4 linked regions of the Struthio camelus genome follow. The protein of the gene in region 1 purifies or fractionates together with the protein of each later gene. This does not show direct contact. Links are inferred from orthologs where the notes say so. Each region holds a gene or a part of one and is shown in the gene's direction. Other genes may lie near its edges. The genes, in order: PRPF19, RPA2, SNRPA and KNSTRN.

Region 1 (7,842 bases):
GGACACTGGGCGAGCCTGGGGGGATAGAGTCAGACAGAGTCAAGCAGCCAGCCAGACCAGCACCAGCCAGGTGCCGGTGGTGGGGAAGGCTGGAGGAGGATGGGAAGGGGGAAGGGGACAGATCCCGGCACGCCTAACCTCCCTCCTCTCCTCCAGCCTCAGCAAACAGATGGAGACAGACATGTGCGCGGCCCGGCGTGTTGCAGCCTGTTATGGGCCCCAGGCGCCCTTCGCCTGCCCCAGAAACACAAGACCCACACCCAGCACGCCTGCCCTGACCTGCGTCCCCCAACCAGGGGCAGAGCAGGTCTCAGGGATGCCACTGAAGCCCCACTTAGGTCTCCAAGGGTTTGGGGTCAGGAACAGACCGTCCCTTTGTGCGTGGTGGGGAAACAGCCTGGCGCAACGGGGACAGAGCCCAGCTGGCGTCCCCCACCCCACAGAGGGACCCACCAGACTGGGACACAGCACAGCCAGGGGCCCCAGGTGGCAAGCACAGAGCCGGCCACTTAGGAGATGTTAATCCCCTTTCCACGCTGCGCGGCAGCGCCAGGGCTCGCTGCCCCAAAAAAACCAGTCAGCCAGCGGGAGGGACAGCTGGGACAGCACCCCGGCTCGAGCCGCCGACTCAGAGCCCTGCTCCTGTGACATCCCAGCCCCGGGGCGGCCTCACAGGATGCCCACGCCGCTCCCCACGCAGGGCGGCCGGCCACAGTCTTTTCTTTGCCGCTTCTCTGCTGGCACAGGAAAATGAACTCCCCAGCCCAGCCAGGCGGTGATTAAATAGTGTTTATTTGGTACCACGTATCAAAACAGTTTAAAAAGCAGCTTAAAAAACAAGAACCGACAAAGTAGGGTTTTGGCAGCTGTCCCCTAGAAAAGGTGCACGGCAGCAGTTTGGCACCCACCACGCACAATCGCAAGCCCCACTTTTGGGGAAGGGAGAGAAATCGCTGCTGCTCTCCCCAAAGGGAGGTCCGTGGCTGGAGACCCCCCCTTCCGAGAGACACTCAGAGGAGCGGAGCAGGTTCCCAGCTGGCTAAGCCGGATCCTCTCCCTCCTGCCTAGCCACGTCCGTACCCGCACATGGGACAGATGGACACAACGGCTTTGTGCTTGGCATGGGCAGATGCATGGCACTGCTGCCAGGCCAGGCAAACGCACCACGGATTAAAACGCTTTCCCCTTGCTCTCCTCTTTGGTGGGGCTGGGTTTGGAGATGGGGAGCGAAGGGAGTCGCTAGAGCCAAGGCCCCCCATCTCCCTCCGTGGGTGCAGGCTGTGTAAGGCACCGCTGGCTAGAACTAAGGCACTGCAGCGCGTGTGCAGGGAACAGGTCCCCAGCGCCGTGGGTGCTGCATGGAGCAGGCGCCCTGTTCCCCTCGCTGGGACCCAGGGCTCTTGGGCTGGAGTTCCTCCTGGGCTGGCTTAAACATGCCTACCGGGAGAACTGGGGGGGAGCGGGTGGTGGAAACAGGAAGGGAGGTGCACCAAGTGGGGGGACCCGGTGGGGAGGGCAGAGGTGGGGTGCAGGGGTGCAGCAGGGGGGACGCATGCTGGGAGTGCCGGTACGGGGAGCGGGCCGGGGCCAGGCTGCCGGGGTGCACTGGAGACAGCGCACCAGGAGCAGACCATGCGCCGGGGTCTGCTGGCGCCGGCTCACTCCTCCTCCCGGTTCCGGGGGCCTCCCCACTTCTGCCGCCGCCGCAGCTCCTCCACCTTCCACTCGAGGCTGCGCACGGTGGCCTCCAGCTCGGCACCAGGGCCGCGTGCCCCCGCCAGGCGCCCCAGCAGGGCGTAGAGCACCCAGAGCCCCAGCAGCAGCCCCGCCTGCACCGTTGGGTTCTCCTGGGAGGCCACGATGTAGATGAAGGCCCGCAAGAAGCAGCACAGCTTCACCCACCACAGCGCGTACTCCAGGAGGTCCAGCACCAGCCCCAGCAGCCGTGACAGCAGCCAGCAGCTCACCAGCATGGCCAGGCCCCACAGCAGCAGCTTCTGCACCTCGCTGGGGCCCAGCCTCACAGTCTGGACCAGGAGGTCCCCTGGAAAGAAGAGCATCAGAGCTAGCTTGGCCATGACCCTCCCGGCAAGGGACGAGACTCTCCTTGCCCGCAAGAGGCTGGGAGGGGTGTCCCTGTCCCTCACCTAATTGTCCTCGGGAGCAAATCCAGGGCAGTGTTCCCTGGAGCCTCCACTTCTACCAGTGAAGGGAGGCCATGGGCTCCACCAAAGCAGCCCCACAGACTGTTCTCTCTGGGCCTCAGTTCCCCCTCCCATGCTTTGCCTGGCCTGCACTCAGGGCAGGGCTGGAGTCAGGGGACCCCAGGGAACGCAGCGGCAGCGCTGGCTCACCGTTCAGGCCAAAAACAGTCAGGATTTCTCCCAGGATCTTGCAGAGAGTAGTCAGAGCCATGGAGATGCCCGAGGACACGGTCCAGAGCACAGCGGAGAGGCTCTGTGAGGAACAGGGAGAGACAAAGCTGCTCAGCATCGTGGGCTGGGAGAGACAATGCACCAGGGGAAGGGAAAAAAGCTTTGCTGCCTCTCCCAGGAGGGACGAGCAGGTACCAGCAGGGCTCACTTCCCTGCTGCTTGAGGCCGGATGGCTCAGTGGGTGGATTGGCAAGGGACGGCTCCCACCACAGCTGTGACAGCTCTGGTGTCCAGGCAGAACAGATCTTCCTATAAGAAGATCTGAGCCCCCTGGGTTTCCCTGCCCCCCAGGGTGAAAGGTAGAGGGGCCCCCAAATCCCTCTCTGGGATGCAGGCTCCCACATCCTCTGCAGGGCTTTGCGGGAGCCAGCAGGAACGTGGGCACCCTGCTTGCCCCTGCCCCTGCCCCACTGGCGGCCGGACAGAGCGCCTCACCTCCGCCACCAGCTGCAGGGGCTCGCGGCCCACCAGGGTCTCCAGGGTCTCCCTCGCCGCTCGGCCCAGCCGCGAGAGGAAGTCTTCGGTGACTTCGGTGTCCTGCCTCCGAAAGCCTTCCTGCCCATCCTCCATCCTGCCCGCTGCCACCCCGAGAAAGGTGGCCCCCAGGATCAGAGCCAGCACAGCCCAGAGCAGGAGCCAGCGCCCCGGATCGCTCCCCATCTTCGGTCTTGTGTCCAGCCCAGGAACCTCTGTGGGGGAGAGAGAGAGCCCGAGTAGGCGCAAGGCTGGACAGGGCAGGGGCCCTGCTGCCCCCGCGCTGGCGCAGGCACTAACCAGCTGACACCTTCCCCGCAGTGCCAAGGCCACCTCGGCTGTCAGTCAAGCCTCAGCCCTGGCCTCAGCCCAGCAGCTTCCTCAGCACACCCAAATTGCTCCCAGCACCGGGGCTTGGCAGCGGCTGCCAGTGCCTGGCCAGCGGGGCCCCGCGCCAAGGCTGGAGGTGTCACTGCCCCCGGCCAGCGCGAGCGTCCCGCGGGGAGGCAGAGCCCTCGTCCCCAGAGCTGCCGAGGGGCTGGGTCGAGCGGGGCGCCGGGCGCCTGCTGCTGAGCGAACCCCGGCTCGGCCGGCTGGGGGGCTATCTTTAGCAAGCCGTCACTGGTGGGCCCCAGGCCACGTCAGCGGGATGCCAGGGCCGGCCGTGCCCAAGGGCAGCTGAGCCTTGGCGGGCAGCTGGGGGCTGTGCGGGGGGCCCTGCCGGGTGGCCGAGCCGGGCGCCCAACACCCATTCCCGCCCCCGGAGGGACAGCTGCGCCAGGGGCCAAGGGGCACTGTCTCCACGACCGCCAGCCCCTCCAGGACACCCTGCACCCCCAGCACCCAATTCTACCCCAGCTCTTTCCGCAGCCAGGTACCCTATCCTGCCCCGGCCCTTCCTGCCACGTCCACCTGGGCTTCCCAGTCCTCCTTGGCCCCCGAGGTACCTCATCGTTACGGGGTGCCCCATCTCTCCGCATCTACAGAGACCACACTTCCTGGGGTATCTCTGTCTGGCTCCTGGGTGCTTCCATTTCTCCCCATCCCCTAGGTGCCTCCAATCGCACAGGACCCTGGTTCCCAGGTTCTCCAGCTCGCCCACCCCCCAGCACCCCACCCTCGCCCCTTCCCGTCTCTCCCACCCCCAGCCCCCCACCCTCACCCCTTCCCATCTCTCCCACCCCCAGCACCCCACCCTCGCCCCTTCCCGTCTCTCCCACCCCCAGCACCCCATCCTCACCCCTTCCCGTCTCTCCCACCCCCAGCACCCCACCCTCACCCCTTCCCGTCTCTCCCACCCCCAGCACCCCACCCTCACCCCTTCCCGTCTCTCCCACCCCCCGCACCCCATCCTCACCCCTTCCCATCTCTCCCACCCCCCGCACCCCATCCTCACCCCTTCCCATCTCCCCCCCCCGTTCCCCCCCCGGTCCCTCCCGATCTCCCCCAGGGACCCACCTCCCGGGAACCCCACGCCCCTGCTATCCCCTATCTCCCCGGCCCCCCCACCCGCCTCGGTGCCGCCCCCCGGGGGGCCCCCCGCCCCCTCCCCTCCCCTCCCCTCCCCTCTCCCACCACCCGGCCGGCAGGGGGCGGCGCTCACCGCCGCCGCCGCGCGGGGGCGCCGCAGGGCCGCGCCGGGGCTCCGCGCGCGCGCCCAGCCTCGGTTCGGAGCCGCCCGCGACGCGGGGCACGCCGGGAGCCGTAGTCCAGGGGCCGTGCACCCCGCGGCATTCTGGGCGCTGGTCGCCATGGCAACGCAGCCCTCGCCGGCGCCTGTTGGGCGCGCCGTGGACGGGGGGGCGGGGGGGGGGAGCCGTCGCCGTGCCTGCCCCCGGTGCACGCCGGGAGGCGCCGTTCCCGCGCGGGAAGGGGCGGGCGGAAGCGGCGGGGCGGCCTTCGCCCCCCCGGCGCGAGGCACGCCGGGAGCAGTTCCGTTTCCGGCGGCGGGGCCCCGCGTGAGCGCCTCGGACCGTCGCTGCGGCCGCGCGCGCCGGACCCGGACCCGGAGGCGGCGGCGGGGCGGCCCCGGGGCCCGCCATGGCCCTCATCTGCTCCAGTGAGTGCGCGGCCGCGGGCCGGGCCGCAGGCGGCCGCGGGCCAGGCTCCGGGGCGGCGTTTCGTGCCCGTGCCCGTGCCCGGCCGGCCCCGCTTGGCGGGGCTTGTGTCGCCGTGAGGAGCCTCTTCTGCCCCCTCCGCCGCGCTCGCTGTCGCGGCCGGGGGGTGCGGAGCAGGGCGCGAAGGGCCTCGACTCTCCCCTCAGCTCTCACCTGCCGGCGGTGCTCCGCGAAAGCAGGGCCGTTACCCCAAGGATGCGGCAGCACGGAGAAAGGGTTCTATCAGCCGGTGCAGCTACCCGCAGCTAGCAGCTGCCTCTCCGATCCGCCAGCTGAGAGGAGAAACCTGCTGCTGACGCCTTGTCTGAGCAGGCAGCACAAGCAGGGAGCGCTGGGGGCCTGAGCCACACTCGCGTAGTAGTATAGAAAGATTTCGGAAAGCTTGCTAATAGCTGCCTTTTGAGGCGCTGACCTGGGTGCGCTTGGCCTCTGGGCCTTCACTGGCTTGGCTGATGGGGAGGGGAGCGATAGATGTTTTGCTAGTGTGGCATAGAGGTGGCAACATACGTCTTAGAAGGAGGTCTGGTCTGCCTCTCGTATCAAGGGCATGTTGCACAGTGTAGTTGTATTCTTGGGGAGGACTTCAGTTTTTTGGGTAGCCCTTTTTCTCGCTTGTGAGAGGCAACAGGCCAGCAGGGACTGCCAGCACTTGAGCCATGTCAGGACCTAATCTTATGCTATGCAGTGGTGCTGTAATTTGTGCAATCTTCCTTCCTTTCTTCATACAGTTTCTAACGAGGTGCCTGAGCACCCCTGCGTGTCACCAGTCTCCAACCATGTCTATGAGCGCAGGCTGATCGAGAAGTACATTGCAGAGAATGGGACCGACCCTGTAAACAACCAGCCTCTCTCGGAGGAGCAGCTCATAGATATCAAAGGTAAGAAGGGCATGTGCCAGGAGCAGAGGCGCCCAGAGCCTGAGTACCTGTGCTTTGCAATGCCTGTACTGCTTCTCTCTGGGGAAGCACAGGGGTCTCGGCTGCATCAAGATTGGGGGCACAGGACAGAGATGCACAAGCCATTTTAGGCATAGGCAGGTAGATTTATGAACGTGGATAATGCTGCCAGAGAAAGGACTTGGAGAAGCAGCAGCAGAGTAGAGTCAGTGCAGCAGTGATGTGCAACTGAAAAAATCTGTGATCTGCAGAGGTGGGATGTGCACAGCTGGGGTTTTAGGTATCTTGTGTTGCTGTGCTGTGGGCTGTGCCCAGGGCAGACTGCCAGATAAACTGGACCAGTGGCTGTATCTATTCTGGCAGCAGCTCTAAGTCATCAGGAGAAAGTGCTGGGACCCTGAGAAAAGATTTCCCAAGGGACTGGTCAGTCACTGATGCAGTCAGAAAGCTGAGCTGAAAGGATGGATTGCTAGAAGATGTAAACAGAAAGGAGTGTGTGTGTGTATGAAGGGACTGGCAGGAAACAGGTTTTTTAGGTGATGCTGAGGACACAGTTGACCCCAGAGACTGATATGTTCACACTATCTCCTTGACAGTCGCCCACCCAATCCGACCCAAGCCGCCATCTGCTACTAGCATACCAGCCATCCTGAAAGCCCTCCAGGATGAGTGGGTAAGTGCTGGCCCCTAGCTGGGTTGGGGCTGAGAATGGAGCGGAGTACCAGTGCTGGCCCCTTCGGGGAGAAAGGGCTATCTGCACTGGGGCTAATGTGTTCCCCTGCCTGTCTGGCTCTTCCTTGTCCTGCCAGGATGCTGTCATGCTGCATAGCTTCACCCTCCGTCAGCAGCTGCAGACTACACGCCAGGAGCTGTCCCACGCACTCTACCAGCACGATGCTGCCTGCCGTGTCATTGCTCGGCTCACCAAGGAGGTCACCGCGGCCAGAGAAGGTGACGTGGAGTTGTGTGGGGGCTATGTACCTCTGGATAATGTCCTGGGTCTCGGGGAGAGTGGGCTGGGGAGCAGAGGGCACTGTGTGGCCCTGGAGCAGGTGGGCTCAATAGAGATCGCTGGGCTGGACACCATCTCCTTTTGCCTTCAAGTGGCCTGTCTAACTTATAGGCTTTCTCTGCCTCTGCAGCCTTGGCAACTCTGAAACCCCAGGCTGGCCTCATCGTGCCCCAGACGGTGCCATCCTCCCAGCCAAATGTGGCAGTGAGTTGAGACTGCATATCTCTGCATGTTTGCCCTTTGTTTCCTTTCTGGATGTAACCAGCCCCCTTCTGTCTTGTACAGGGTGCTGGGGAGGCCATGGATCTGGGAGAGCTTGCGGGCATGACCCCCGAGATCATTCAGAAGGTAAAGGATCTTCCACTTGTGCTGCCATGGCCTTTGGCAGCTGCTGTTCTCCAGTTTCCCACTGTGAGAGCTGAGTCAGTGTGTTACCAACCTTCTCTTGTTTTGCAGCTTCAAGACAAGGCTACGGTGCTGACCACGGAGCGTAAGAAGGTGAGTGGCTGCATCTTGCTCTGGGGGATGGAGCTGAGTGGCTTTGGGTGATGTGAAACAAGGTGCTGTGGAAATCAGGATGTGAAATGCCCCTGAGGGAGGCCATTATTTGCCTCCATGCTATTTCTCTTCTGCAGAGAGGGAAGACGGTTCCAGAGGAGCTGGTGAAGCCAGAGGAGCTCAGCAAGTACCGGCAGGTGGCTTCGCACGTGGTGAGTGCCATGGCATGAGACAAGGGCTTGAAAACTTAGCCCTGCCAGCTGGGCATCCAGGCATCTCCTTTGCTGCTTTGCAGCTTAATGAGCAACAGATTTGCTGCTGGGCAACGCAGGGAGAGGGTCATGGCGTTCTGTGCCACAGCCGGTCAGGGGTAGGGGCGTGTGCTGGAATAGATGTGGCACAGATTCCCA
Region 2 (7,958 bases), on another chromosome or scaffold:
TGTCTGGATCGTAATCAATCACCCGGATCCCAGGGTTGTTGGCTCCATTGGCCACTCCAGGTAACGTTGTTTTCCAAGGAGTCACTCCAGGGGCTAAGAACATGACATTGATTGGAGAACCTTAATAGAAAGACAAAAGAAACCATGAGTCAGAGAGGTCTGGCTTGGAGCAGACAACGAGCATCCTGACCACTGAGCACCTTGCACCCATTGCTCACCAGATCCAGTTACAATAATGCACGCAGAAAGATCTGATGCTATTCAACACACTGAGATTGAATACGTGACATTTCCAGCTAAAAGCAGGCCTTCTGCAGCTTGGCATGAGTGGAAGACTCTACAGTGAGGGTGAGCAAGAGAACCACCCTCAGTGAACGAGACCCAAAGAGCCATTGTGAAGACCTACAGTTGCTCCCTTAGGTCTCAGCTAAGGTCCAGAAACCATCAGTATGGAGCAGGACGAGCAGCAAGGCACTGTGAGAGGAAACAACAAATGAGAGGGGAAGCAGGAAGGACAGCTGGAGCTACAGGTCTGGGTGGGGAATCCCATCCACTGTTGTGTCTTGTTGACCAAAGCATTTTACAAGACGTTTTAGAAAGCAAGACGTAAATGAGCCTTTTCTGACTTGTTGGCTGCAGTCACCGAAAACCCTCTTCAACAATGATTTTTTGGGGACTGAACAGAGCTATCATGCAAATACTTGGGTAGCCAGATTTGATACCTGTATCACTGTAAAACATCCGAAAGCTGTCAGTGTGGTGGTGTCCAAAAAACTGGGCAGCAATCACTCTGTGGTGCCTCTGCACTATTTTCAGGTATCGTTCATTAAAGTTACTCCGGAACCAGGGCTTGCTTCTTTTCTTCTCGAAGAAGCCAGGAGGGATGTGCCCAGCAATGTAAACCTACAAGAGCAAAGAGCTGCGCTGAATGTAGATCCCATGCTTCCCAAAGAGAGCACTGGCTTGCTGGTCCTTGGCACACAAGAGAGATCAGGAGTGAAAGGACCTTCCAGGCTGGGAGAAGCCCTCTACAAAGGCATGGGGGCTTTTGTTGTTGTGTGGGCTTTTTTTTTTTTTTTTTAAATACCATTTCTTCTGCTTTTGAGGCGTTGGTCAATGTTTCTTCCAACCACCGGAACTGCCCTCCAGGATCTTCCTCACCAGCCGTCTGGTTATTCTGGTCATAGTACAGATTGGTATTGAGGACAATCATTCGCCCACTTGTATTTGGGCTGGGCAGCTTCTCACTGTAGAAAGCAGCTGTAAAATGCAACCAGCAGGAGAAAGAGCTGGAATTCTGGCCACACAGCCAATTGTGTCCCCAAATCCCCGGGCTTTTACCTCTCTCAGCTCTCCTTGGCAATAGTCACAGCAGAGTCACTATCTAGACAAGGTGCCAGCAGCTCTGACTGGTTCCAGAGTAACCAGCAGCTCTGACCAATCCAGGATATGGATTTGGTGTGACTCTTCCCTGTGTCTTCTTGTCCCGCATATGCCACTCAAGGTGAAGAGAGACCCTGGGTTTTAAGAGTATGTGCAGGACAGTCCAGGAGCTGGGAAGCTATAGATAGCTACTGTTGTGGCTTTCTTGAAAGATCTTTTTTATTTTCACTGAAGCTCACCATCCTCTGCAGGGACACTTTCCTAAAACTCTAGGAAAGCACGGAGAGACTAAAGCATAAAGAAAGTCCTTTTCCCACATGCAGGAAAACTCAGTGCTAGGAATCAATCTTAAATTGGACCCTTCCTCTACAAGCACTGCGGCTTGGGGAATAAAAGCAGAGACAGCACGTTCATGGTGACTTTCCCAACCACCCTATCTTCCCAGGACACTGCTGACACGGGCTAGTGGTGCCACACCTGCTCTGAACAGAGGAATGGAAGTATCGTTCAGCCAGGAGCGCCACAGTTCAGCTGTTTGGTTGTAGATCCTGTGCTCCTCCCCTGGAAACTGATTCTTGGGGTGGAAGTCATGATTGCCCATCACAGCGTAGACTTTAGTTTCTAGAGAAAGAGAAAAGGAAGCACAGAGGAATCCAAGCTTGCTCCAGAGTTCTTCAGCACCAAAGCTCTCTAGAGAGCTTACAGACTCAAAAAGAATAGCATGGCTGGAGAGCTTCATAAAAGGTTATCATCCACACTAAACTCCTGTGGTTGCACGGACTGGGGATACAATACTGCAAGACCATGTGTCCTCAGGGAAGCCACCCCAGAGCAAGACTGCTATGTTTTTACAGATGGAGTCAGTGAGATTTCCTTGTCAGTAATACTTCTTCTCCCACTAAGCGAGAATAAATTTTGTAGCTTCGTTTTTCTTAATGAGTAGTTATAGAAATGTTTCTTTTCCACTCTTCTGAGTGAATTAATCTGAAATAGCAAGGGTGTGTTAGACATGCCTCAATCAAACAGCCTGTACAGCAACTAGGAAGAAGACAAAGTAGTCCTAATGCCCACAGCATTTCAGTGCCTTTCCCCTTCTTAATTATATCATTTCTCCAGAATGGTAAGTTCTTCCCATGAGACTTTGTACTCCTCTCCCCTATTCATTCTCTCAGATCCTACCTGGAAATATCTGTTTTATCAGAGAAGTCAGATTTTCAATTATGTGCAGAACCTGTTTTTCTCCAAGCTGCTCATTGGGGACATGAGGAGTATCATCTCTGGAGAAAACAAATGAACAAACAAAAAAATAACAAACAAAAAAACATTATGGGGCACGAATCAGCACTACGTTGACTGGCAAGGGCACTAAGAGAGTTTCAAGGAACTGCTCACAGTAAAAACCTGCTCTGCTTTAGTCTACCTTGAAAAACCTATACACAAGCATAAGAAATTGAGCCTTATTCTACCTCAGTGTATTTAACAGATGCTACAGATGACTGGCGATCTTGTGAGGAACAGCGTTTCACAGTCTGGTAGTAAATTTGGTCAGCAGTGGTAAAACAAAACTCTTTGTTTTATTTTCAATGGAAGAGTTGTTATCCTGCTGCTCTCTTGAGTACAAACGGATGCCTCCAGTAAGCCAATGACCATTGAGATCTACCTCTAAAAACCTAGCAGATACACATTTCAATGTTTTCACTAATATGCTTTTAGCATATGTAGACAATATCAGCTGGTAAGGATTATAAGCCCATTGAAAGATAAGACTAAAATACAGGAAGATTTTGAAGAACGAGGATAAATAGTTTGAGAAAATGTAAAACAAGACAGAAGTTTTAAAGACCAACAACTATTTCTAAGTAGGAATGATCATCTGCACAAATATATAAAGTGGAAACAGTGGGTTAGTCAACAGCGCTGCAGATCAGGATTGGGAGTTACAAAAGCTCATAGCGAACACTGTGCTGTTAGAAGAAGCAGGAAACATTACAGAGGGATGTATGAACTTACAGAAATCATGCCAAACAAGTCTTTCACTGTTTGCAAGTGCTATTAGGGCCTCCTGTAAGGTGGCCACTTCTGGACACCATACTACAAAAAAAGCTCCATTTGGGGAGGCTCTTCATAGTTGTAAAGAAAATTAGCTCCTTTTTGAGGTAAGTCTTCCAGGTTCCTCTGTGTAGTTTGAAGAAATGCTGCAAGCCCTTCTCGTGGTGCCTCTAACAAGGCAGGACTTTGTACACCAACAAAATGAATACGTTCCATTCCCCCAAGCATTTTCAGGTATTCAAAATTTGTGTGAAGTGAGACTAGGCTGGCAACAATTGGAGAAGAAGAAAGGATGGTGAATTCTAACACCTTCCCTCATCTTACCTGGAGTTTTTCAGAGAATCCCTCATTGCTGGGGCTCGTTCAAAGCATGGCCTCCCACTCCTAACAGCCTCGCTGTGCCCTCAGCTCCGTACAGCTCCACTAGCAGACTCCATTTTGTACTTTAAGGCGTATCCAAATCTCACCTCTCCAAAATGGTTACCTTAAGAACCCTGAATCTACCGTGAACTCTTCACCTCCAAGTCCTCTGGCTCCCCATTCTCTAATAACAGCTCTCAGCCAAACACTGGCAATGCCCAAAGCACGCAGGATCATGTCATAAACTGAAAGCGTGAGTAAACACAGAACCAGTACTACCAATTTTTGGATTATTTGGGCTTCCCCCCCCCCTTGTCACAAGAAGATTCCTAAAAATGCAAACATGGGTATTCACCTCCTAGAGCTTCAGCAAAATGATGGAAAACACGAGCCTAGAAGAGCTGGGATTTCCTCATTTTTACACGTAAAGCTGAAGTACAGCTTCAAAGCCTATCCTATACCCGCTTTTTTCTGAGGGACGGGCCGGTGAAGCGGCCCGACCCTTGAGGGGGCGGCAGAGGACACGCTCCGCCGAGCCCCGCGCAGCCTCCTCCGCCGGGCGGGGCGGCCGCTGCCTGCCCGGGGCCAAGTTCCGAGCTCAGCCGGTGGCGGGGCCGCGGCCGCCCCCTCCGCGCCCGGCCTGGCTCCTCACCCGGTCCAAAGGATGAAGTCGGGCTGGCGCAGGATGCCCCTCATGGCGAAGATGGAGGAGTTGAGCAGGCGCCAAGGGGAGTCGCAGAGGTAGCTGCCCCAGGGCCCGGCGGCCGGCACGGCCCGGGAGCCGCCCGAGGGGCACACCTGCGAGGGCTCCGCCGCCGCGTCGTAGCCGGGGTCCCAGTGCAGGTCTGTGATGTGCCAGAAGCGCCCTGCCGCCGCCGGGAGAGACGCCGCGACTTAGCGGGGCGGGCGGGCGAGCGAGCGAGCGAGCGAGCGAGCGAGCGCCCGACAGCCGCCAGCCGCCCGCCACCGCCCCCTGTTACCTGCGAGGGCCGCGCAGAGCGGGCAGAGCAGCAGGAGCGCGAAACGCTTCATGTTGGCCAGGTTCGCTCCTACCCCTGCTCCGGCCGCGGCCGCGGCCCCGCCCCGCCCCGCCCCGCCGCGCGGCCCCGCCCCTCCCCTTCCCTCCCCGCCCCGCTGCGCCGCGCGGCCCCGCCCCTCCCTGCCCCTCCCCTTTCCTCCCCGCCGGGCCGCTCGGCCCCGCCCCGCCCCGGGCCCTGCTCACCTCGGCGGCGGTCGGGCTGCGCCAGCACTCAAAATGGCGCTGTCAGCCTCCCCGCCGCTTCCCCCCACTGGAAGGAGCCAGAAGAAAGGCGATTGCGATTGGCTGACCGGCCGGATTATCGGGCCCGCGGATTGGGCAGCTGCCGGCGGCGCGCGGGGGGACTACGCGGGTCCGTCTCGCGCCTGCCGTTAGGCCTGGCGCCGCCGCAATGTGGAGCGGACAGGGTGCGGGCCCGGGGCGGTGGGGGCGGCCCGGGGCTGCCGGGGAGCTGCCGCGCAGCCGCCGCGCAGGAGCCGGTGCCCAGGGCCAGCGCGCGGCGGGCTGTGCTGCCGGCGAGGGAGGAGCCGGGGCTGCTGCGCCCGGTGGCGGCGGCGGCGGCGGCGGGTAGCGCGTCTCTGCCGCCGCCTCAGGGTCTCTCCCTCCCTCTCCTCAGGTACCTTCGACACCGGCTACAGCAACGTGGGAGGCCCGGGGCCCGCAGGCGGCTACATGCAGTCCCCGGGAGGCTTTGGCTCCCCCGCAGGCACCCAGGCTGAGAAGAAGCAGGTAGGCCTGGAGCGGGGCCTCGCCGGGCCCCGGGGCGCTGGGCCGCGGCGCTCCGCCCGCCCCCTGCGGGGCGAGGGCCAGGCGCTCGGCCCGCGGAGCTGACGGCCCCTCGGCATCCCCTTGCAGAGAGCCCGCTCCCAGAACATCGTGCCCTGTACTGTGTCACAACTGCTGGCTGCTGAGCAGGTCGATGAAACCTTCAGGATCCGCGACGTGGAGATATCTCAAGTAAGCGCCCAGGGTGGCCACTGGGCAGAGCTGCCAAACCCCGAGTGGGAGCGTTGCGAGTGGCAACAGCTTTCCCGTGCCAGTCCCCCACTGTAACGTTTTCCTTCTTCCAATGCAGGTCACTATCATGGGGATAATCCGGCATGCGGAGAAAGCACCGACAAACATTCTCTACAAAGTAGACGATATGACAGCGGCCCCGATGGATGTCAGACAGTGGGTTGATACTGACGTAAGCACCAGTGGGGAGTACAGCGGAGAGAATGAGCTTTTGGATGATTCTTGTAACACCAGTTGGGTAGGAAAGATGGAAAAGATGGAAAAGATTTAAGTTGTAAGCAAAGAATGGAAGAACAAGAATCTAACTTTAGCTTGGTCCTTGTTGCGTGGAAGAAAAACTCAAAATTTAGGTTTTCTTAGTCATTTTCAGTAATTCTTTGTGATAAACACCCCATCAAATTCTCTGTGTGTGTTATGTTTGTGTTTATTACCCCTCTCTTTGTTATGAACTTAACGTTTTCTTGAAAAAATAACGTGACTGGTTTGGAAAATGTTTTGGGAATAATGTAACTCGAAAAGCTGAGGAAAATGTTGCAGTAGCAGAGGTCACCAGTGTTGTATATGAGTCTCCTCCTGCTTTATAATTCTACGCTTCTACATTGAAGCATGCTGAACAATTTTTGAGGTATTTAAAGGCTGAAGCTTGAACGTTGCTTCATAAATGAATTGAGAGGCATTTACAAGAGGCAATGGGCAGAAACTGAACCACAGGAAGTTCCATCTGAACCTGAGGAAAAACTTCTTCACTGTGAGGGTGACAGAGCATTGGAACAGGTTGCCCAGAGAGGTAGTGGAGTCTCCTTCGCTGGAGCTATTCAAAACCCGTCTGGATGTGATCCTGGGCAATATGCTCTAGGTGACCCTGCTGGGGCAGGGAGGTTGGACTAGATGATCTCCAGAGGTCCCTTCCAACCAATTTCCCTTCCAACCTAAACAATTCTGTGATTCTGTGAGAGATGAGTCCTCAATACCTTTGTGTAGAAACACAAGGACAGAAAGTATCTGAACAGAGATTTTTGTATATGGCTCAGTGACTGATAATACCGGTGAGTATCATCATTGCTGATGCATGACTCCTGAAGTGATGGTAGTTTTCCACTGGATTCTCATGCTGATATAACAAGCTTTTAAAGCTGGACCCTGTTATTAAAACATATTTGAAGGCAAACAGCTGAGTTCAGACGAACAACTTTGAAAGAGTAATTAAGCAAATGTTCAGTCGGCTTAACGACAAGTTTATCATAAATTAGAAGAGGATTCTGTGACTGTTTCCATAACCGTAACCCAAGTTTTATAGCTGAACACTTCCTTTTTACTACTTCAGGGCTTTTTCCCTCTTGTTGCTTTTTGAAGATCCCCCAGAAGCGGACAAAGACATCGGAGCGCTGTAATACAAGTGGCTTCAGCTGCTCTCAGATATGCAGTGTATTCAAACAAGAAGAATTTTTTTTCCCCTTTCACTTAGTTTTTCCATTTTTCACTTACACTAACTGTTCGTATTGGATGTAGGAATGTATGGCTTTTGTGTTTGCTTGAGATAAGCCTCTTTTCTCAAATCACTTATTGTGATAGTGGATAAATGGAAATGTGAATCAGGAAAACCTTGTTTTTTCCCCTTTTCCTTTCTGTTAGGAGGCAGGTGGTGAGAATGTTGTAGTACCTCCAGGAACTTACGTAAAAGTAGCTGGTCATCTTCGGTCTTTCCAGGTAAAATCATGTTATTTATGTATGACTCCTCAAGTAATGAGGTTGGAGCAGTGGCTTGAAGGATTACTGATCTTGTAAAGTGTTAGGGTCTTTGTAGAATATGCAGTTAATCATGATCTTTAGTCAGCCTTTCCTTGAATGTTTTTGGCAATGCTGTTCCTAAGTGCAAAGGACAGAAGATCCATTTAAAATTTCATTGTTCATCCGTACATTGTTTTCTGCTGAACAGTACTGGCCACCACATTCTTGAATGTTTGTACTGTAGAGCTTAGATTTTATTCTGGTCACTAGGGGACACTTTATAAAGGGTAATAATGTCATACAGTTACATCATAATAGTCACTGTTTAAATAGTGATGTGTGCATTAAAGCAAAGTGCAGTTAGTTACTAGCCAGTTAGAAA
Region 3 (7,305 bases), on another chromosome or scaffold:
CCTCTCGCCGCCGGGGGGGCTGCAGGGGGCGGCGGGGGGGGTCCGGGGCCTCCCCGGGGGGGGTCGCAGCGGCGCCGCCCCCCCCGCGGCCCCCCGCAGCAGCGGCCACACGGCAGCCACCTGCGGGAGGGGTCAGAGGTCACGGCCCGCCCGCCCGCGGGGGGGGGGTCAGAGGGCAACAACGGCCGCCGCGCCCGCTCACCCCGCTCCGCGCCATCGCGCCGCTTCCGGGGTCAGCGGCCCCGCCCCCGCCGCCGGCCAATCAGAGCCTGACCTGCCTGCCGGCGGGCGGCCAATGGGAGAGGAGGGAAAGGGGAGGCTCCGCCCCCTGCCGGGAGGGCGGAGCGGCGGGGGGGGGGGCTGCAGGAGCGCGCATGCGCTGCAGGCTGCGGGGTGACTCTCTCCCCCTCTCCGGCCCCATTGCACCCTGCACCCCATTGCACCCGGCCTCATTGCACGCTGGACCCCACTGCACCCGGGACCCCATTGCACCCGGCCCCACTCCACCCGGGACCCCATTGCACGCCAGCCCCATTGCGCCGGGGGCCCCATTGCACCCTGCACCCCATTGCACCCGGCCTCATTGCACGCTGCACCCCACTGCACCCGGGACCCCATTGCACCCGGCCCCACTCCACCCGGGACCCCATTGCACCCTGAACCCCATTGCACCCGGGACCCCATTGCACTGGGGGCCCCCCTGCACCTCAGCCCCATTGCACCTGGCCCCACTGCATCGGGGGACCCATTGCACCCGGGACCCCACTGCACCTGGGACCCCACTGCATGCCAGCCCCATTGCACCCTGCACCCCATTGCACTAGGGGCCCTATTGCAGCTCAGCCCCATTGCGCCCGGCCCCACTGCATAGGGGGTCCCATTGCACCCTGCATCCCATTGCATCCAGCTCCACTGCACTGGGGGACCCATTGCACCCCAGCCCCATTGTGCCTGGCCCCACTGCACCAGGAGCCCCATTGCAGCCTGCACCCCATTGCACCCTAGGCCCCATTACACCACAGGCTCCATTGCACCCAGGACCCCATTGGAGCTGGGCCCCACTGCACCGGGGGCCCCATTGCACGAGTGGACCCATTGCACCCTGCACCCCATTGCACCTCAGCCCCATTGCACCCTGCACCCCACTGCACCCAGGACCCCATTGGAGCTGGGCCCCAGTGCACCAGGGGACCCATTGCACCCTGCACCTCACTGCACCCATCCCCATGGCAGCCAGGGCCCCATCGCTCCCTTCATGCACCTCCCAGGGGTGCTCTGTCCCTGCTTGCCAAGCCCCGCCCCTCCCCAAGCCCCGCCCCCCCATGCAGCCCCAAGATCAGCAGCGGCCGCGACCCCTCTGGGACCCCCAGGTAGCCCCGTTCCCAGCCGGTGGGTGGGAAAGGACCCAGGCGTCCGGGCCCCACCCCCAGGCAACCCCACCCCTGCCTCAGCCTCCCCCTTAGCCAGCGACAGGGCCGCAGAGGGGACCCAGGTGTCCGGGCCTGCCTTGGCCGTGCCTCAGTTTCCCTAGGCTGGCTCCCAACGCTGCGCGCGGAGCAACGGCGTCGGGGCGGCGCGGGGGTCCGCTGCGGTGCAGCGGGAACCGACACGAGCACGGCTCAAACGTTCGCCTTTAATCGCGTGTGCGGCCAGGGCGAAGCAGCGTGCGCGAGCCTGGCGCGGGCTCGGCCCTTCTCCGCGCCCGTTAACGGCGCTTCCCGGAGGCGAGCGGGACAGCGAAGCCTTCCCCGGACGCAGCGGCTGGATCGGCAGCGGGAAGTGTCCTGGCTTCCCCCCTCCGCAGCAGAACCGGGGCGTCTTCTCCCTCCAGGACCGTCCCCTGCCCGCGCCGGGGGGGGACGCGGCGGCGCAGAGCAGGGCGGGCTCGCCGGCAGCGAGCCGGGACGAGGCCCCGCGTCGCCCCCACGTCGCGGCGGTGGCTACACGCCGGGGGCCGGGGGGTGCAGCAGGACGGCCTTGCCGCAGAGCCCAGCCCGCACGCCGCCCGCCGGCACCACGTAGACCTTGCCGTCGCCCGCCCGGCGCGGGCTGAAGTCCGTCAGCTGCGCGTTGCTCTCGTGCAGCCGCCCGTAGCCCCAGAGCTGCACGCGGCGGCTCTTGCCCTGCTTGGCCAGCAGGAAGACCTCGGCCAGCTCGTCGTCCGGCGGCAGCCGGGGGGGCCCCGGGCCGGGGTGGAAGAGGCCGGGGATCTCGGCGTCCTCGCGGCAGCCGGGGCTCAGCGCCGGGCTCCTCGCACCCAGCAGCGCGCCTGCAGCGGAGCCGCCGTCAGCTCTGCCGCGGGGCGACCCCAACGTCCCCGCAGCGGGGCCAGGGGCTCCCTGGCGGCGTCCCCCCCGCCCCGCTCTGCCGCCGGCGCGGACGTACCTGAGACCACGGCCCAGTGGGCCTTGTGGCCCTGGCGGCAGCAGGGCTCGTGGTTGCTGTCCTCGTCGTAGCTGGGGCGGGCGTTAAGGGGCACAACGGGGGCAGCGCGGCGCGGAGGGGGCCGGGGCCGCGCGGCTCTGCCCGGCGGCGGGAGGATACGGCACGAGCAGGGGCCGGCCGGCGGCGAGGTGCCGCAGGATCCGGGGCCGGTTGTCCCCCTCCAGGCCCCCCGAAAGCAGCTCCGCGCGGCACGGGAACAGCTCCTGGGCCAGCGTGGCCATGTCAGCCGCTGCGGGGGCACAGAGCGGGCAGGGAAATCCCGGTGGTCCCCGCCGCCGCCCCGGCACGGCGCCGACGGGGCTCGGAGCGGCCCCCCCGCCGGCCCCCCTCACCTGAGAACATCTCGCCCTGGGCGGTGAAGGCCCGGTCCCGCGCCGCCTGCACGATCTGCTCCAGCGAGACGCCCTGCGACGGCTCCAGCAGGGCCCCGGCCATCCACAGGGCCACCAGCCCGCACCTGGAGGGGGCCGAGCGGGGCCGTGGGTGGCCGGGACCCCCCGGCCCCCAGCCCCGGCCTCCCCCCACCCCACCTCGACACTTACTGGGGGCCCTCCTGGATGAGGGACGGCACCGGGCGGTGGACGAGGAGCCACTGCAGGTCGCTGCTGAAGCTGGGGGGAGGCAGAGGCTCAGCAGGACCCTGGTGACCTGCGGGGGGGGGGGGGGAACATGGCCCACGCGGGGTCCAGGACCCCCCCCCCCGGCCACCACAGGGGGATATCGCCACGGTCCGCCCCGGGACCCCCCGTCCCCCAGGTCAGGCCGGGACCCCCCGTCCCCCAGGTCAGGCCGAGCTCCCCGGGTCCCTCCTTTCCCCTGGTTCATGCCGGACCCCACGGACCCCCCATCCCCTGGGACCCCCCATTTCCCTGGGTCATCCCGGGACCTTCCAGGACCCCCAATTCCTCAGGACCCCCCCATTCCCCCGGATCCATCCCAGGCCCCGGGACCCCCGGGACCCCCCGGGTCAGGCCGAGCTCCCCGGGTCCCTCCTTTCTCCTGGTTCATGCCGGACCCCAGGGTTCCCCGTCCCCCAGGACCCCCCTCAATCACCCGGCTCATCCCGGGCCCCTCCGGGACCCCCAATTCCCCGGGACCCCCCATTTCCCCGGGTCATCCCGGGTCCCCCCATTCACCGGCACCCTCCTGTCCCCCGGGACCCCCCATTCCCCCGGATCCGTCCCAGGCCCCGGGACCCCCCGCACCCCAGGCCCCTCCGGGACTCCCAATTCCCCAGGACCCCCCCCATTCCCCCAGGTCCATCCCAGGCCCCGGGACCCCCGGGACCCCCCGGGTCAGGCCGAGCTGCCCGGGACCCTCAATCCCCCGGGACCCCCCCCGGTTCATCCCGGCCCCCGGGACCCCCCGGTTCAGCCCGGGACCCCCCCGGGCCCCGGCGCCCACCTCTCCCGGCGCCGCCGCAGCAGCTCCCGGAGGTCGCCGCCGTCGCGGTCCGCCGACTCCGCTCGCTCCAGCGCCTCCCGCAGGAAGCGGCCCGGGGGGGGCGGCGGCGGCGGCGGCGGCGGCGGGGGGGGGGGCGGCGGCGGGGGGGGCGGGGCGCACCGGGCGGGGGCGGGGCCTGGCGGCAGCACCGCCCCGGCCCCGACCAGGGCCATCCCCTAGGCCAAGGTCAAAGGGCGCCCGGGCCGGAGGTGAGAGGTCATGGCGGGGAGAGGGGTCAGAGGTCAGGCCGCCGTGCGGCAGCAGCACGTGCCCCCGCGCCGCTGCCCTCGCGCGTGCTTCCGGCCTCTGCTCCGCCCCTTCCGGGCCCCGTGACGGAGCCGGCCAATCGGACCAGACCTCGCCGACCGCGCTCGACCAATCGCGCAGGTGGTGGGCGTGGCCGCCCGCCGCTCCGCTGGGGAGGGGGCTCCTCAATCCCGAGGGAGGGAGGGGCGGGCGGCTCCCAGGCTACGCGTTCTGATTGGCCGCCCCGAGACGGGTCACGCGGTTCTCATTGGCCGCCGAGCTAGCGCCTGCCGCGTTCTGATTGGCGGCCCTCGCTATTGGCGGGCGAGAGCGAGGCGGGCGCGCTGCTATTGGCGGGCGGCGAGCAGGGCCTGGCGGCGGCGGCGGCGCGCTCGGGGCCCTCGGTGAGTGGCGGCGGCGGCGGGTGCCGCCGGGGCGCGGGGCGGAGCGGGAGGGCCCGGGCGGGGTGGCGGAGGCGGCAGCAGCCCCCGCCGCCACCGGGAGGGGAGCCGAGAGGCTGGACGGGCCTCACGGGTGTCTCCACATCCGGGTCCTCCCCCCCCCCGACCTTTGGGGGGGGGAAGGACCCGGATGTTCCCCCCCTCTACTGGGAGGGGGAAGGACCCGGATGTAGTGACCCCTGGGGGGGTATTGACCCCTTCCTCTCCGGGGGGGGGGGGTCAGGGATCCTTCCCCCCGCCCCGAGCCCGGCTCTGGGGCCCGGTTCCTCCCTGAGCCCTTGATCTGGGGGGGGGGTCTGGGGTCTTCCCCCCCCCCCCCAGGGGGTTGAACCCTACCATGGGGGTGTCTCCTCCCTGAGCCCCTGATCGGGGGGGGGGTCTGGGGTCTTCCCCCCCCGAGGGGGTTGAACCCTCCCATGGGGGTGTCTCCTCCCTGAGCCCCTGATCTGGGGGGGGGGTCTGGGGTCTTTTCCCCTCCTGGGGATATTTAAAGCTTTCCTGGGGTTTTTTCCTTCTCCAACCCCCTGGATTTGAGGGGTCTGGGGTTTTGCTCCACTCCAGGGGAATTTAATCCTTTCCTGGGGCTGTTTCTTCTCTCAAGCCTCTGGGTCTGGGGTCTTTCTCCCACCTTGTGGGACACGCCTAGACCCTGGACCCTTGCAGGGACCTATTAGCCCCCACGCCAGGAGGGCTCGAAGGGGGTGACCCTCTTGTTTCCCCCCCCCATCATTTGCACCCGGGTTAGGGTTCTCACTGCCTGTGGGGGCACAACTGGGACCCGCCGTCCCCCAGTGCCGTCGCAGCCCTCTCCAGCCTGGTCTCTCCTCGCAGATCCAGGTGTCACGTGTTCAGCATGGCTGTCCAGGACGCACGCCCCAACCACACAATCTACATCAACAACCTCAACGAGAAGATCAAGAAGGATGGTGAGGGGCGGCCTGAGCAGGCAGAAGGGGAACGCGGGAGGGGTGAGGGGATCCTACCTTCATCTAGGCCCTGGGGTGCTTGTGGAGGCAGCTTTTTCTTTGGTTTGTCTGAGAAAGGTCAAAGTTGTTTGGCTGCAGAGGGAAACGGCCCATCTGTCTCCAGGAGGAGGCCTGCTCTTATGAGCAACAGCTGCTCATTCTCCTTGCTGCTCAACACGTGTCAGACTCGAACTTTGTCTCCTAGAGCTGAAGAAGTCCCTTTACGCCATCTTCTCCCAGTTCGGCCAAATCCTGGACATCCTGGTGTCCCGGAGCCTGAAGATGCGGGGTCAAGCCTTCGTCATCTTCAAGGAGATCAGTAGCGCCACCAACGCGCTGCGGTCCATGCAGGGCTTCCCCTTCTACGACAAGCCCATGGTGAGCCCTGCCCACCGCGCTGCCGGGAGCCGGCCCCCTGGGTCCGCAGTGCCCCCCTGACGTGTTTTCCTCTGCCTTCCCTCCGCAGAGGATTCAGTACTCGAAGACAGACTCGGACATCATCGCCAAGATGAAGGGAACCTTCGTGGAGCGTGACCGCAAGCGGGAGAAGAGGAAGCCCAAAGGCCAAGAAGCTTCCTCAGCCAAGAAAGCGATCGCTGGGGCTGCGGCTCCGGTTGCGTCCGCAGTCCAGGGAGCCGTTCCCGTGAGTCAGCTGCCCGGAGCTGCCGCAGAGAGGGGATCGGAGCGCCGGGGCCGCGCTCGGGGCGGGTGTCGGGGGTCTGGGCGTTGAGCTCGTCTCTCTCCCGCAGGGAATGCCGCCGATGAACCAGGCGCCCCGCATGATGCACCACATGCCAGGCCAGCCGCCCTACATGCCGCCACCGGGCATGATCCCGCCGCCCGGCATGGCTCCCGGTGGGATCCCTCCCGGGGCTATGCCCCCCCAGCAGGTGATGCCCGATGCCCGGACAGATGCCCCCAACACAGCCGGGGGCTGGGCTTCTCCTAGCGCCCCAGTACGGGCACTGGGAGCCCAGGTGCATGCGGGCCGAGAGAGAGTCCAAGGGAAAACGTGCCAGCCCCAAACCTCACAGGCTGCAGGGTGGCCCTGTCGCAGGAGAGGGGCAGGGAACGGGACTCGGGGCCTTCCCTCAGCTCCTCTGGGAGCGCTGCGGGAGGCCAGGAGGTGCCCAGCTTCCCCCCAGAGCCCCTCCGGGCTGACTCCGGCTCTCTCAGCAGCTCTCGGAGAACCCGCCCAACCACATCCTCTTCCTCACCAACCTGCCCGAGGAGACCAACGAGCTGATGCTCTCGATGCTGTTCAACCAGTGAGTGCAGGCCGGGGCCGGGGAGGCTGCGGGCACGCGGGGAGGCACGGCGGGGGCGGTCGGGGCCCCTCTCACTGCCCGTGTCCCCCGCCAGGTTCCCCGGGTTCAAGGAGGTGCGCCTGGTGCCGGGCAGACACGATATCGCCTTCGTGGAGTTCGATAACGAGGTGCAGGCGGGAGCCGCCCGCGACGCGCTGCAAGGCTTCAAGATCACCCAGAACAACGCCATGAAGATCTCCTTTGCCAAGAAGTGATCTCGCAGGCACCGAGCTCCCAGGACTGCTCCCTCCCCCTAGCCCTGCCTCTCCGTCCCCAGCCAGCCCCCTCTGCGGGGCTCGCTCGCTTGTTTTTCCCTCCCCTAGAAGGTAAGTCTGTCCCCGAGGCTGGCTGAGTCTTTGCCCCCCAGCCCCTCTCCTTCCCCCGCGGCACCCCGGGGTCGAACGGAGCCGGACCTCCGCCTGCCGCATCCACCGCGCT
Region 4 (7,001 bases), about 1.0 Mb from region 1:
GTTTGCAGCCTTAGCAATAGGAGGTGCCTACATTTCCTGTTCCAACCCTAAGCTCAAACTGCCTACTCTTGAGACATCATCTGTTCAGGTGTTTAGATTGAGCCATCCTTTTGAGAGGTACGATTCCGAGTACTGTCACCAATTCATGTTTGAGAGGCTGGAGCACGGAGAAGGACAGCGTATGCCTGTCACAATAGTATGGGGCATTCTGCCTGTGGATAATGGGGATCATTTCAATCCAAAAAGCAATGGCACCCTAGTGACAGATATCACCTTTACAATCCAAAATCCCGATGCCCAGAAGTGGCTCCTCGAATTCTGCCAGAAAGTGAAGAACAAAACGTTCTATTACCCCGATGCTGAGCAGAAATCTACCGTGTGCTTCATGGAGGAGTTTCTCAGGTGGATGGACAGTCGCCAATGCTCCCAACGAGACCACAGCTTCAACCTCTGTTGTAACCAGTTCTCTTTCCCGTACGGAAGCGACGTTTTCCTACACTGCATCAAAATGATGCTCCTGGAACAAGGTAGGGAAGGGGCTGAAACATATGATCTGGGTCTCAGGTTTGACGGAGAGGGAAATCTTGCTGCCTTAGTGCTACAGTTTCAAACTATTTATCACTACAGCTTCAATTACAGCAAAGCCAAACATTTCTACGAGGAAATCAACCTCTGGATAACAGAGGAAATGAAAACTGCCCCCGTGGGGCTTCAAAACGGATGGTTTACCAGTAAACTAGAGCTATACAATCTTCAGCACAGTCTTAGCACAGAAACGATGGTGGTCATGGGGCTCTCCATAGCCATTTCCTTTGTAGTGCTGCTGCTCACCACTTGGAACGTTCTCCTTAGCGTTTTCTCCGTTACTGCTATTGCAGGCACCGTCCTGGTAACTGTTGGCCTTTTGGTCCTCTTGGAATGGCAGCTCAATGCAGTGGAATCTCTCTTCATTTCAGCTGCAGTAGGTCTCTCCGTTGACTTTACCGTGAACTACTGCATCTCCTACCATTTGTGCCCCCATTCTGATCGCCTAAGCCGAGTGGCCTTTTCCCTGAAGCAGATGAGCTGTGCCACAGCCATGGCAGCTTCTGCTCTGTTCTCTGCAGGGGTCATCATGTTGCCGGCTACCGTCCTGGCGTATAGGAAGCTGGGGATATTCATAATGATGATCAAGTGTATCAGCTGTGGGTTTGCCAGCTTCTTCTTCCAGTCACTGTGCTGCTTCTTTGGCCCAGAGAAGAACTGCGGGCAGATCCTTTGGCCTTGTGCCCACACCATGAAAGACTATTCTGATGACTCTGGGCTGAATGGAAGCTTTGCCTGTGGGGGAAGTGAGAAGCAAAACAGACTGCGTAAGGTCCAGGAGTCCAACACTGCAAATGAGCAATATGAGCTCCAGCCCTTGTCCAGAAAACTCAGTGACAGTTTTGACAACAGCACTTCCACAAGCAAGTTGTCCAATCGGCCATCAGTACTGTCTGAAGACACACAACTGGAAGACAACAGATGCCCCAGAACAGGAATGCACCCTTCTCTTGAAAGAGAAAGACAGAATCTGCAGGAGACTCTTGGAGACCAGCAGGTTGGTCTGTGTCAGTGCCCTGCCTTACAGACGTCTTCTCCATACAAGCACAGCAGCTCAGGAGCAGAAATTCAAAGGGAGAGGCTCTGTAGAGATTGTCAATGTCAAAAGTACGGTCCAAAAGCTTGGGACGAGTCTGTGCTGGACCACATCCAACTGGCTGGTGTGAAAGATGACGGGCAGCTCAATAAATCACAGTGCTCTAGTGACACTGCCCAGCAGCAGTCAGATTATACCTCAGACAACAGTCATCTTCCTGCTGCTGACATCTACAAAATTCACAGATGCCTTTGTTCTCTTGGCAGCTCTTTTGACATGCTCAACATCTCCAGTGAGACGTCAATTAGTGATTTTGAGCAAGGCCTAAAACTTGCTGAATCAGCCAGTTCTTGTCCAGATGTTTTAGAGCTGTCAGATTCATACAGTCAAACAGAAAGAGGTTACTTGAACGGGAAGAGAGATACCCTGCGGCTGGACCTGAGGGAGACTGTGTTTGATATCTCGCCAGTAGCATCACAGCAAAACAGCTCCTCATGGAAAAATCGATTTGGATTAGGGAGTGAAGATCCAGTTGTGTTACCAAACAGCCAACCAGATATGCCTGATGTTTGGATCAAACGATCTAGTGCACAAAATGCTGGTTACAGCAGTTGAAATTTTGCAGGAAATAAACCGTACTGCTTGGGAAAGGAGAAAGGCAAAATCTCCTCTGAACTGTAAATATCACATCTTTCCTCCCATTTCTCCTAGAGCTGAGACTATTTCTTAGCCGTGCAAACACCTGTGTTTTCACAGAACCAGCAAATCCAATACTAGTGAGGGGATCAATCTTAACGCAGTACAAGCTCTTTGACCTTCCAGTGTCCTGTTCCACATACTCAGCTGTACTGCAGAGCTTATCAAGTAAACATTCTCTGTCATTTCCTACAGGGTGATTAGATTTTGTTTTCTTGTCAGACCCATACAGGAGAGAAATACTGAGAGATGAGTCTCTCCAGATATTTAAAGACAGAGAAGTCATATTTAAAACATATAAATAAATAAATATATATATATATATATAAAATCTAGATATCAAGTGAAGAGAGTTGTTAACAAAAAGAAAGGCTTTCATTTTTTTCTACTGATTCCGAAACTGTTTTATGTGAAGTCTAGGTTCACAGATCTCTACAAAACACTTTAGATATTTCAAACAATCTCATCAAGACTTTTCACTTGATATGGTCTTTTACTGATCACGGAGGCTATAAAAATAAAACCCAGCCCAAATGTATTTTCAGTAACAATTTCAGTTTGTTTTACCAGAAGAAATTCCTTCTGGTACAGCCAAAGATTTTCAACGTGAGATTTTCCCTTTGAGAAAACAGTGTCCTTGTCCTGGGCGCTTTGTGTTTTGTCTTCATAGCTTGTTTCCAGTCAAGGTATTCTAGATAAACATGTAACTTTTTAAAATTTGCATATCTGACAACTCTTGAATTTTACATTTTTTTCTCTACCAGAAACAAACAGAAAAACAAACACTTCCTGGCCTTTATCTGTTGAAAGAAGAAAAACATTCTCTCTACAGGTTAACGTAAAATAAATGCGTATGACAAACTTTCCTAAATCTGCGTGATGCTTCATTTTCACCAATACCGTGGCTCATTTTCTTCATCTCTTACGAGTCTCATGTCTTTTGCAATATAATCAGCAAAAGGAAGACATGCACCTGAAGAGATTCATTCTTCTGACACCCACAGTCGTTTTGCCTGCTCTGTGGGAAAGGGATGGCGATTGCCAAAGGTAGATTAGGCATCTGCACTTTTACAGCTAGTAACCCAACCTGAAACATGTAACTGATTTCAATTTCGCTGAGGGGGTTTGCATTTTCGCGGAGCAGCTCTCACGCTGGGTGCTCAGCTCGGTATTTCGGCAAGCGGACCCGCACTCAAGCCGCGAAGCCAACACCAAGCCAATTGCTCTCCGCACAACAGCCTCCCCTTATTATTTGGAAGGATTTGCCACCCCTTTTGAAAGTTATGCTTGGAAAAAAACAATGAGAGCACGGAAGCAAGCAAGCAAACGGATTTTATAGAGGAGCCTCCTTCTCCCTTTCGGTGTGGGCCAAGGGGAGGGCGACTTTAACGACCCAAAGCGCTGAGGGGGTGGCCCCAGCTCCCCCCAGGGCACGGCCCGCAGGGCCCCCGCTGCCCCGAGTTCCCAAGCGGCGGGGCTCAGGCGGCGGGGAGGGCACCCCTGAAACCCTCCCCGTCAGAGCCGCCGCAGCGAGATGGAGCCCGGCCCCGCCAGAGCCGCCCCGCCGCCAGCGCCGCCGCCACGTCCCCTCCCCTGAGGCGAGAGCAGGCAGACAGCACGCGCGCAGCCCCACCCCCAACACAACGGCCCCCTGCCCGCCTCCCCGGCTTCCGCACTGCGCCTGCGCGCGGCGCCAGCACCACCGCCTCCGCGGGCGGGGCGAGCGCGCGGGCGGCGCCTGCGCATGTGCCGCGCCCGGGAGCCGTTAGGCGCCGGCTTGAATTCAAACGGGCGGCGCGAGCGCGGTAGGTGCCTTTGCGTTCTTGTGCTTCTCTCCCGTCTCCCCTCTTCTTCCCGCCCTGCGGTGGCGAGGGGGCGCTGGGCAAGGCGGGGCGGGGGGAGGGATGGGGAAATGGGCCTTGACGCCCGAGCGGTGCCGTACGATGCCTCTGGGTGAGGGTGTTTGTGCCGGGGCTTGCAGGCGAGCAGCCGTTGGAGAGGCGTCACCGGGCGGCGGCCGCTGAGGGGAGGGCCGGCGCGGCGCGGCGCAGGATGGAGAGCGAGCCCTCCCGCATCCCCGTGTACGGCGCGCTCCACCGTGGCGGCCCCGCAGGTGCGTCCCGGCCTGGCTCCGCCAGGCAAGCAGGGAGGGCGTGGCCCGCCTTGCCTTGCCCTGCCCCGAGGTCCCGGGCCCTCGGTGCTGGGTGTCTGCCTTAGGCCAGCGCAGAGGGCGGCGGGAGTGGAGGCAGCTTTTAAGGAGCTCCGATACTGCCTTGGTCTGTGGTGGCTGTTGTGGAAATCTTATTAAGAGTTTTTTGTTGTTTTTTCCTAACCTAGGCTACCTTCTGATAGAAATTATACACCTGCATCATCTCTGCTTAAGATTTTGCAGTTAAAATTTCTTGGCTAAACCTGTGTTTTTGAGGAGGGTGGGCTGTTACTATCAGAATCACAGCTGAGCCTTTTGAGATGACTGCTGGTCTGGTGCTGATGTTAGGCCTGCCGAGGGTGTATCTCCTGCTTATCTGGATGCAGTGGCTTTGTGAGGTTAAAAATACTTTTCTTCAGAGGCTCTTACTTCTGTAGGTCTTCAGATACTACTTGCAGCATTTTACCTGTTATAAGTATGAGGCACCTAGACTTAAAATTTAGAACATGAGAGCCAGTGTGTAGGAATAGAACCCCCCCTGCCCTGTGTAACTCTAGTATGAATTGGATATAGATATGCCATTTGAGAAAGGCTTAGCTCACAAAACAAGCTCTGAAAAGCCACTCTGTAAGCAAAGCTTTATTTACTCTATGCATGTATGTATGTGCTTTATGGCCAAATAAACTTTACATAAATAGCTAGTTCTCTTTAGAGTTATTTCAAAAGTATATCTATTGGAAATTAAAATACAAAGCTCTCTTACACTGAGAATTTCATGTGGGCTGTATATATTTGCTTTCAGTGCTGCACAGCTTTGCTTGGAACACTGTGGCTTGCTGTTTGCCTAATGTTGAGACCTCCTTTACTATCATGCCTGCATTATTGTTTTCAAGCTTTATCCTATTAGTGCTAGCCTAGTAATTATATTTTAACACTGTCTGCCATGAGCTATCTGTGGCTTGTTTTGAACCATGAGTAGAATTTAGTTGTTAGTTAGTTGTTGCTTTCTCAGTTCTAACCCTGTAAGATGTTTTTTTTTGTCAAACTGAAAGCTTAGTAGCTCCAGTAGTTTGGCACATTACAGTGATCTCTTGCAGACAGTGGTATTTTCATTGCTGTCTTTCTCTTGCAGAAATGCAAATGGTGTTTCCACCAAAGAAACAATGTGTCAGCAAAACAGCTGATCTACAATTTAGCAAGGATCCCAATTTTAACTTTAGCTCAAATATGCCGGGAGATGGTGTCTTCAAAGCTACAAACCAAGGGTAAGTGAAAGTGAAATAGTGATGGATTTGTTACTTGATAAATATCCTGAAAGTGGCTTAGCATTTTGCAGTTCTTCTCAAACCAGCAGACTTGGTAATCTGTAAATATGCAGTGTCTTTCTGTGGTAATAGTATTCTTCTTGTTTTTTAAGGCTTCCTAAATCTGCCAAGAAAATGGAACCACTTTCAAAAAAGACAGCTGCAAGAGGGTATGTTTTCTCAAATAGCTACTAGTTGCTCTAATGCAACAATGTTCCATCTCAAAGAGTTATGATGAGTTCTCCCCCACATACAGCTTCTTTTGGCAAGTGTACTGATGAAAGCTCTCTTGGTCATGAACGAGAGCAAATACTCAAAGGACGACACTTGGTGAAAATAAAAGAAGGGGTATGTAACGCTGATATTTTTGCACCTAAGTCTTTGATGTTTGACTCTACAGACCTCTAAGCAGATACAAATTAGAGACAGAGCTGAAGACCAAGAATCAGCTGTTAGAAACAGCTAAACAACAACTGCACTCCCGACTAGCAGGAGCACAGGTAAGGAGAAAAACATTAATTGAGCAATTCTTATATTCTGCCCTCTATAGGGTCAGACCAAATGCTTGCTTGTTATTCTGTCTCCATCAGAAGCTAGTAGAGTGTAAGAGTAGGCTGGATCTTTTCTTCTTTGACAGGTCCTAGCAGGATATCATTGGTCTATCAGCAGAAATGCAGATGTATTTGGCTAGATAATGCCAAATTATCCAGATTGTTGTTAAATAGTCATCAGTGCTCCAATTCCATCTTAAACTCATTGCAGGAGAACATTTCAAGTTCACAATTATATGCTTGCATAAAACAGCCTCAGTGTTGACAGATGCTCCCTTGTTACATTGTGAGAAACTGTAAACAATCTCTTAGTAATTACCACTCAAGACTTGGTCTGTTAATTCTTTCTTTCATCCTGACCTCCTAACATACTTCATCTCTCCTCATACAGCAGATAAGCTATTCAATTTTTTTAGATCATCCTTATTCCCTTTGCCAAATCTCTGCTAGTTCTGTTACCCCATCACAAGAAGCGTGGTGTGGGAACTGCATACAGTATTGAAGATGGGGGTTTTTCAGGAGTGTATATACCTGCATTTTAGTAGTTAAGAACTTGGATTTAGGTCACTGCTGGGCACTAAGAATTTGAGGGACACTGACATTATTCTTAGTATTACTAACTCAGTTAATTTGGTGTATGTAAGCTTATGCTTCTTCCGTGTGCTATTGTGCCATATTGT

Evidence for each region.
Region 2: the proteins of PRPF19 (region 1) and RPA2 purify together in Homo sapiens (affinity purification with western blotting; 4 studies listed by BioGRID, with this or other methods). This does not show direct contact. The link is inferred for Struthio camelus from reciprocal best matches to the Homo sapiens genes PRPF19 and RPA2.
Region 3: the proteins of PRPF19 (region 1) and SNRPA fractionate together in Homo sapiens (co-fractionation; 3 studies listed by BioGRID and IntAct, with this or other methods). This does not show direct contact. The link is inferred for Struthio camelus from reciprocal best matches to the Homo sapiens genes PRPF19 and SNRPA.
Region 4: the proteins of PRPF19 (region 1) and KNSTRN purify together in Homo sapiens (affinity purification with mass spectrometry; 4 studies listed by BioGRID and IntAct, counting the BioPlex papers as one, with this or other methods). This does not show direct contact. The link is inferred for Struthio camelus from reciprocal best matches to the Homo sapiens genes PRPF19 and KNSTRN.

Annotation. Positions count from the first base shown.
Region 1 is NC_090946.1:3,854,598-3,862,439, reverse strand, and holds the start of PRPF19 (pre-mRNA-processing factor 19), read left to right. Parts: upstream 1-4,829; 5' UTR 4,830-4,949; coding exon 4,950-4,968; intron 4,969-5,754; coding exon 5,755-5,904; intron 5,905-6,518; coding exon 6,519-6,595; intron 6,596-6,731; coding exon 6,732-6,873; intron 6,874-7,064; coding exon 7,065-7,138; intron 7,139-7,219; coding exon 7,220-7,282; intron 7,283-7,390; coding exon 7,391-7,432; intron 7,433-7,569; coding exon 7,570-7,644; intron 7,645-7,842. Other genes in the region: voltage-gated monoatomic cation channel TMEM109, read right to left, coding at 1,659-2,044, 2,355-2,457, 2,871-3,095. UniProt on the Homo sapiens protein: Ubiquitin-protein ligase which is a core component of several complexes mainly involved pre-mRNA splicing and DNA repair. Required for pre-mRNA splicing as component of the spliceosome.
Region 2 is NC_090964.1:2,835,937-2,843,894, forward strand, and holds the start of RPA2 (replication protein A 32 kDa subunit), read left to right. Parts: upstream 1-4,953; 5' UTR 4,954-5,222; coding exon 5,223-5,238; intron 5,239-5,447; coding exon 5,448-5,560; intron 5,561-5,686; coding exon 5,687-5,788; intron 5,789-5,906; coding exon 5,907-6,020; intron 6,021-7,480; coding exon 7,481-7,555; intron 7,556-7,958. Other genes in the region: SMPDL3B (acid sphingomyelinase-like phosphodiesterase 3b), read right to left, coding at 1-120, 723-903, 1,088-1,260, 1,861-2,004, 2,563-2,660, 4,445-4,658, 4,773-4,824. UniProt on the Homo sapiens protein: As part of the heterotrimeric replication protein A complex (RPA/RP-A), binds and stabilizes single-stranded DNA intermediates that form during DNA replication or upon DNA stress.
Region 3 is NC_090957.1:588,966-596,270, forward strand, and holds the start of SNRPA (U1 small nuclear ribonucleoprotein A), read left to right. Parts: upstream 1-4,292; 5' UTR 4,293-4,538; intron 4,539-5,426; 5' UTR 5,427-5,448; coding exon 5,449-5,521; intron 5,522-5,765; coding exon 5,766-5,938; intron 5,939-6,026; coding exon 6,027-6,203; intron 6,204-6,309; coding exon 6,310-6,450; intron 6,451-6,736; coding exon 6,737-6,828; intron 6,829-6,922; coding exon 6,923-7,082; 3' UTR 7,083-7,305. Other genes in the region: COQ8B (atypical kinase COQ8B, mitochondrial), read right to left, coding at 1-120, 203-217; ACTMAP (actin maturation protease), read right to left, coding at 1,941-2,269, 2,386-2,456, 2,545-2,674, 2,778-2,902, 2,988-3,056, 3,850-4,061. UniProt on the Homo sapiens protein: Component of the spliceosomal U1 snRNP, which is essential for recognition of the pre-mRNA 5' splice-site and the subsequent assembly of the spliceosome. U1 snRNP is the first snRNP to interact with pre-mRNA.
Region 4 is NC_090946.1:4,863,291-4,870,291, reverse strand, and holds the start of KNSTRN (small kinetochore-associated protein), read left to right. Parts: upstream 1-3,997; 5' UTR 3,998-4,061; coding exon 4,062-4,122; intron 4,123-4,298; coding exon 4,299-4,430; intron 4,431-5,598; coding exon 5,599-5,731; intron 5,732-5,883; coding exon 5,884-5,940; intron 5,941-6,170; coding exon 6,171-6,270; intron 6,271-7,001. Other genes in the region: DISP2 (protein dispatched homolog 2), read left to right, coding at 1-2,236. UniProt on the Homo sapiens protein: Essential component of the mitotic spindle required for faithful chromosome segregation and progression into anaphase.